2 linked regions of the Ovis aries genome follow. The protein of the gene in region 2 interacts with the protein of the main gene of each other region in a pairwise test. Links are inferred from orthologs where the notes say so. Each region holds a gene or a part of one and is shown on either strand. Other genes may lie near its edges.

What was found. The genes of interacting proteins can lie anywhere in the genome.
Region 1: the proteins of ATXN3 (region 2) and DNM2 interact in binary tests that used the Homo sapiens proteins (3 or more experiments, as listed by UniProt). The link is inferred for Ovis aries from reciprocal best matches to the Homo sapiens genes ATXN3 and DNM2.

What each region holds. Positions count from the first base shown.
Region 1 is NC_056058.1:13,095,246-13,098,897, reverse strand, and holds part of DNM2 (dynamin-2), read right to left. Parts: intron 789-3,652; coding exon 628-788; intron 1-627. UniProt on the Homo sapiens protein: Catalyzes the hydrolysis of GTP and utilizes this energy to mediate vesicle scission at plasma membrane during endocytosis and filament remodeling at many actin structures during organization of the actin cytoskeleton.
Region 2 is NC_056071.1:54,591,647-54,595,298, reverse strand, and holds part of ATXN3 (ataxin-3), read left to right. Parts: intron 1-1,417; coding exon 1,418-1,503; intron 1,504-1,653; exon of another isoform or gene 1,654-1,709; coding exon of another isoform or gene 1,710-1,714; intron 1,715-1,923; coding exon 1,924-1,990; intron 1,991-3,652. UniProt on the Homo sapiens protein: Deubiquitinating enzyme involved in protein homeostasis maintenance, transcription, cytoskeleton regulation, myogenesis and degradation of misfolded chaperone substrates.

The DNA.
Region 1 (3,652 bases), on a different chromosome or scaffold from region 2:
CATGGACAGAGAAACTCAGGCAGTGTTTACAGCGGTGGGTGAGAGGCAGGAGGCACATGGCGCTTCACTGTATCCTTTTGAATCCACCTGCCAATGCAGGAGACAGAGGTTCAATGCCCAGTCTGGGAAGATACCACATGTCGCAGAACCACCGAGCCTGTGAGCCACAACTACGGGCTCAGTGCCCTAGAGCCCGTGGTCCGCAACAAGAGCGCCCACTGCAATGAGAAGCCCGTGCACTGCAACCAGACAGCAGACCTCTGCTCAGCACCGCAAGACAAAGTCCACACAGCGACAGGGACCCAGTGCGGCCGCAAATCAGTCAATAAGCTACTAAGAAAAAAAACGAATATATGTATGTGTAACTGAGTTGCTTTGCTGTACAGAAGAAATCAACACATTGTAAATCAACTATACTTCAATAAAAAACTTAAAAAATAATGGTAACAATAGTAGTGATGGAAGTAATAATACCAGCACTGACTCTTCTCCAGGCACTGATGCAAACGTTCACTGAGCTCAACTTTGCTAGAATGAGTGCTGCTCTAGCCTAGCGGCAGCACCGCTGTGGAATGCAGCTGTTTTGCAGTGCACAGCCTGAGCAACTGCACCAAGTCCTCACCGTACCTGATTCAGAGTCTTCTGCAGGTGCGGGGTGCCCATGCGGTCAGCTATGTGCCGGTAGGCTGGGTGGGAAAGGAAAAACTTCCTCTCAGCCGCCAGTGCTGTGCGGATGTCCTTCTTGCCCTCAATATCCTTCTGGCTGCGGTTGACCACTCCAATGTAGCCTGTGGAGAGAGAGGGTCAGGTCACGGCAGTGCCAGGCAAGCCTAGGAACCCAGACGCCCACTACAGGCCAGCCATGGGGCTGGGCAACATGCAGGTGTAGACATGGATCCTGCCCTCCAAGGCACTCCCAGAGGAGGTGACAAGCCTCATGAGTTACTCAGAGGCAACACTGAGAATCCAAACACAGGGCAACGTAAGTGTTCGGAGGAAGGAGAGATTACATTCAGCCTGGTGAGAGGGACTGGAGAAAGAACAGCTCGGGAGGAGATGAAATCCACAATCTGAGCTTTAAAGACAGAAAACAGTATGTGAAAAAGAAGGCCAATGGGAAAAACTAATCGTGCCAGATATTAATACCTGTTCTAAAGCTATTACATCTGGGGACCTTCCTGACAGTCCAGCAGTTAAGACCCTGAGCTTCCGATGTAGAGGGCACAGGTTCGACTCCTGGTCAGGGAACTAAGATCCACAAGGAGATCAAACAGTCCATCCTAAAGGAAATCAACTCTGAATATCCATTTGAAGGACTAATGCTGAAGCTGAAGCTCAAGCTCCAATACTCTGGCCACCTGATGTGAGGAGCCGACTCACTGGAAAAGACCCTGATGCTGGGAAAGACTGAGGGCAGGAGAACGGGGTGACAGAGGATGAGATGGCTGGATGGCATCACCGACTCGATGGACGTGATCTGAGCAAGCTCTGGGAAACAGTGGAGAACAGGGGAGCCTGGTATGCTACAGTCCATGGGGTCACAGAGAGCCGGACACAACTTAGTGACTGAACAACAATGGTTGGCAAAGAAACGACGTCTGGTGGCCACCAAAATGAACTCGCTGGGGATTCACAGATTTCCACATAACACTGCAAGTACTTGAATGGGTGTTTTTTCAAAATTACTGTATTTGTCTTAAAACTGTCTGAAGAGAACATAAGCAACAGTTAATTGTAAGAGAAGCGGGGCTTATACAGGAGGGGTTGGGAGCCAGCTTCCGAAACGACAGTTTAAGGTACCATTCGGCAATTTTTTTTAACACAAAAAACCATTAGCATAAGAAAACTACTTTGAAAAAAGGATCTACAATATCTGGACATAAAGGAGTTGGAAGAGGACGACGGAAGGGGGATTCAAGCAGCCAGGAACCCCAAGTGTGGACCCAAGCTACCCCACTGCACAGGTGCACGAATGGGTGTTGTGGGAAGCAGGAAACTGAGCCTGGTGGCCAACACCTGGGAGGCGCTCAGTCAGCAGATGTGTGTATTGTTGTCCATATAATGAAAATTGGAAAGGTGAACTGGGCCTAGGTGGTGAAAGGTCAGAAGTGATACACACATATCTGTACCCCCTTCTCTTAGTGAGGACTGATGTTTCTTTGGAGAGGAGGGGCACAGCTATCCTCCAAGCTATCCTCAGCCAACTATCCTGCCAAGTCTTGTGCAGACCTGACGGTTTCTCGTCCTCTTTGGAGCTATCATCAAGTCCACCTTACAGATGAGGGAAGCGAGGCAGGCCAAGGAGGGGTCCCTTGCCCACATGGTCACATGGAGGACCAGTAGCGGCAAGGTGCAAACCCAGATTACTGTGAAGGGCAAAGAGCAAGGGGCAGAGATGGTGTCTGGCTTGTTCTGTGGTTCCTTTTGTTAACCTAAAAAAGAAGGATCCAGGGACTTCCCTGGTGGTCTAGTGGTTAAAAATCCACCTTGCAAAGCAGGGGACACAGGTTCGATCCCCGGTCGGGGAGGATTCTACATGCCTCGGGGCCACTAGGCCATGACTACCGAAGCCTGCGCGCCTACAGCCTGTGCTCTGTAACAAGAGAAGCTACTGAGAAGCAATGACAAGGCCGAGCACCCCAGCTGGAGAGTAGGCCCGCTTGCCTCAACTAGAGAAAAGCCTGTGCAGCAAGGAAGACCCAGAATAGCCCAAAATAAGTAAAACAGAATAAATAAATAAAATTTTAAAAAAAAATCTGAAACTCCACTAAACACGAGACTGATCAGCCTCTGTCTAGATCTAATTACTGGTTTGCAAGAACTATAATTGGCCAGATCCCGATGAGGTGCACAGATCAAGTGGCTGGAGGGGGAGTCGTTGGAACAGAAATGTAGGTGTTTATGTGTCAAATGACAGGGTGCCTGGATTTGCTTCATAATCCCCCAGGAAGGGAAGAACAACAGGAGAGGATATTTGGGATAGTGACGATTAGCTGTGTGTGATGAGCAACAAGGCTGGTCTAGGGGAACGCCTCACATTTTTCTCTCCACGTGAGAAAATGCTTGACAACAAGTACTGAACATTAAAAGGTACAGGGACTTCCCCACCGTCCAGTGGTTAAGATTCTGCCTTCCAACACAGGGGGTGTAGGTTTGATCCCTGGTCAGGGAGCTAAAATTCCACATGCCTCCCGACCAAAATTCCAGAACAGAAAAAAAAAGAAGAGGAAGAAGAAATATTGTAACAAATTCAGTAAAGCCTTAAAAAATGGTCCCTGTCCAGAAAAAAAAGTCTAAAAAAAGAAAAATTACAAATCCTTGGGAACTCTTAGGAAGGAGAGCCAGAGTAGTAACTATGGGGAGAAGCTGAGTGATGGGTGATTTCAGTTTTCTTCTCCTGGACACTTCTTTTTGTTCCCCAAATGAGCAGTTGTTCACCATACAAATGAAAAAAGAATGCACACACATCAGAAGAAAAAGCTAGGGCTTCCGTGGCGGTGCAGCGGTCAAGAATCCGCCTGCCAATGCAGGTGACTCGGGCTCGACCCCCTGGTCCAGGAAGACCCCAAAGGCCATGGAGCAGCTAAGCCCACGTCATACAACTACTGAAGCCTGTGCACCCCAGCGCCTGTGCACTGCAATGAAGAGTACC
Region 2 (3,652 bases):
TCAGAAGTTCCTCCAGTAGGTTGAGTATAAGAGTATAAGATTATCCTTTAGAATACTAGTTTTCTATATAGCTACACATGAAAATTAGGACAGTAGATTCTTCATTTTAGAGAAGGCCTTTTTCAAAGGAGGTTGTTAATTTGAATCTGTGTGCTAATAAATGTAATTCCAGTAAGTCACAGTATTTCAAAGGCTTCCCTCATGGATCAGCAGTAGAGAATCCGCCTGCCAATGAAGGAGACGCGGTTTTGCTCCCTGGGTCAGGAAGATCTCCTGGAGAAGGAAATGACAACCCACTCCAGTATTCTTGCCTGGGAAATCCCATGGACAGAGGGGAACCCTTTGCTAACCTTGCATTTAAATCAGCCTACCAGGATTGGATTCCTTCATTATGGTCTGCAGCTTTCATCTTTTCCCTTTTTGTGAACTTATCGCTCCCCTTGAATTCTGTGGGTGAATATATATATGATACTCGTGAGACTGATTCTTTCATCTGTGGCTCTTTGGTTCCATTCCTAACACCTGTGAGGTGGATCCAGAGTTCTTCAGAAGCTCTCTTGGGGGACCTGCAGATATCTCTGTATGTGTTCCCCTGTTCAGTCCTCCTGGACTCCTCGGTCACCAGCATTTGCAGCCAGGGCTTCACTGTGGGTGGTTACAGGTAACAGCTGCTGCTGGGCCCGGAGCAGGGGCCTGAATGGGCTCAGCGCGCGCCGTTTCCTGTTTGTGCGGTGCTGCTCTGGGCACCAGTCCACACTTGCCCAGTGCAGATTATTCACTGTTTGTCTATACTCATGCCTGGCTCACGTGCTGCTTTGTTGGGTACCTTGGAGGGTAGGTGGTGAATTGTCAAAATTTTTCCTTTTGTTTTTTTCTTAGTTTGAAATAATCAGGTTTATCTTTTGATTTCCTACAAATCACAAACCCACGATAAAAGAAATTTAGAATTGATGAAAACTTCAGTTTAAATCCTCAGAAATAATTCATTTTGATAGACATAAAATTATCATTATTCCGTATAGTAAGTTGACTGTCAGTTTTCTAAAGCAGAACTCATAGCAGCCAAATGAATGCAATGGACTTGTGTTAAGAGTAGCACTTCCCGGATAGAATATACATCTAGATTTTGGAGGCAGTTCTATCTAGGAATTGTATGGTTCTCATACAATTCCAGAAACTTAGTGTAAAAGGTACTCTTTTAAATGTTATGTCTATATTGTTAGTTATGGATATTTGGTGCATATAGTGATATATCATGTGCACACACACACACACACACATACACACGCACACACATGCACTGTAAAACCCATAGCATACTGGGGAAATTTATCTATGAACTAAAATAGATTCTACAACTAATGTGGCTTAACGCTACTTATTTGGAATTTTAAAAAAAAAATTTTTTTTTTAACAGGTTATAAGCAATGCCTTGAAAGTTTGGGGTTTAGAACTAATCCTGTTTAACAGTCCAGAGTACCAGAGGCTCAGGATTGATCCCATGTAAGATTATTTTGCTTTTCCTATATTTGATTTTTAAATTTATACTTTCTTAAAGGGGAAAAATAAGCCTGGCCTGCTTTTGTTGTGATATTCCCCATTTTATCCCCTCAGGTTTTCCTGGTTTGCCTTTTGGGGCTGTCTGTGAACATCTGTCCCCCGAGCCTCCCTGACCCCTCCATGTGTGGCAATGCAGAGCTGATCCTTGAATGGGGTGTGGTGCTGTTGTTTCTGTATGGCATCACCGATCTCCACAGAGATTTATGCTGTTTTGTAATTTTTTAAAAATCAGTGATTCTTAAAACTGTAAATATAATCCTAAGTCATCATAGTTTTGTATAGTATTTTCTAATTGACAAACTAAATGAATATGATTCTAATATTTCAACTTAATATTGCATATGTGCTTTTTCCTGTTTCTAGAAATGAAAGGTCATTTATATGCAACTATAAAGAACACTGGTTTACAGTTAGAAAATTAGGAAAACAGGTAACGCTTCTCCTCCTTGCCTGTCTTTTTTCTCATTCTGTACCTCATTTGCAACTAATGTGAGGAATTGGTGCCTTGAAGATGAAGGAACACACCAGTAATGTGTTCCTGTGGCCTGGTTACAATCTAGATAGATAGGACATAAGTAAAATTCTCTATTTAAGACAAGACAGCCATATTTAAACATAAGTAAGTTTTTATGTGACCAAGATGTTCTGTCAGCTAACTTCTGTTTTTCATAGGTTTATGTTAAGCATAGCAGTGTCACAAAGCCTGAAATAGTGTCCGGTATGAATAAAAATTTTCAACCATGTTTGCTTTAGCTTAACAAGGTTATTCACATTCCAAAATGCCATGTAATACATGTGTCTACATAAATCATTTCTATTTAAAAAAAAAAATGGAATGTGTCTTGAGCATTGAGCAAAGCTTTTATAAGATCAAGAAATGTACCAAAAGTGGTATTTTTAAAAATAATTACCAGTGATCTTTGTATACCCAATATCATTTTTGACAACTTTTAATGTCCTTTTTCTCAGAATTTTGACTCTTTGAAAGAGGGTTACTGAAAACAGATTAATGTAATGAAAAAGAATGAATTACTGATACATGCAACAATGTGGATGAACCTCAAATTAATTATGCTGAGTGAAAGAAACTAGACACAAAATACTATAGTCCATAGAAAAGAAAAGAAGAAAGTGAAGTTGCTTGGTTGTGTCTGACTCTCTGCGACCCCATGGACTGTGGCCTGCCAGGCTCCTCAGTCCATGAGATTCTCCAGGCAAGAATACTGGAGTGGGTTGCCATTTCCTTCTCCAGGGGATCTCCCAACACAGGAATCGAACCTGGGTTTCCCATATTTCAGGCAGACTCTTTAACGTCTGAGCCACCAGGGGCTCACTATAGTGTTCCATTTATATAAAAGCATAGAAAATGTAAACTAATCTTTAATGACAGTGATTGCCTGGATGAGGGAGGCAAGGAACAATGGACGATGATTACAAGGGGCACAGGAAAATTGGCAGTGACAAAAATGTTCACTCCCTTGGTGGTGGTGATGGTTTCGTGGGTATATGCATACGTTAAAACTTCACATTTTACACTTAATATATTACAGTCTGCTACATTTCAAGTACACTTAAATAAATCTTTTTTTAATAAGCTAATATGAAACAAAAGGAAACAGGAAAGAGTACATTGAGTTAAATCAATATAAGATAATTCTAAAATGAAAGCCCTACTATTTTAAGTTTGCTGCTTAGAAGCAGCTTCATCTTAAATGGTCCCTCTTGGGTGGCAAAGAGCAAGTAAGTTAGTGTGGTTTGGTGCAGGAGAGACCCACGCAGGTAGGAATCGACTCTGGGAAAAACCAAGGCAGAACTCTCCCAAGTGTGTTTAACCTAGGAGTTTTATTTAAATATTTAAAAATACGATCAGCTGTTCTTCACTTTCAAGATCTGAAGTCTTAGAGTCTGGAATTCCTTTGTATTGATTTGTATGTAAACTTACATTATTATTTTGAGAAATTTTGTAAATTTTAGTTCTTCAAAATTGAATTTACAGATTTCACGTTATCTTAGACAAACTCATTATCCTAGACAAACTTCCCTGATAGCTCAGATGGTAAAGAATCTACCTGCCATGCAAGAGACCTGGGTT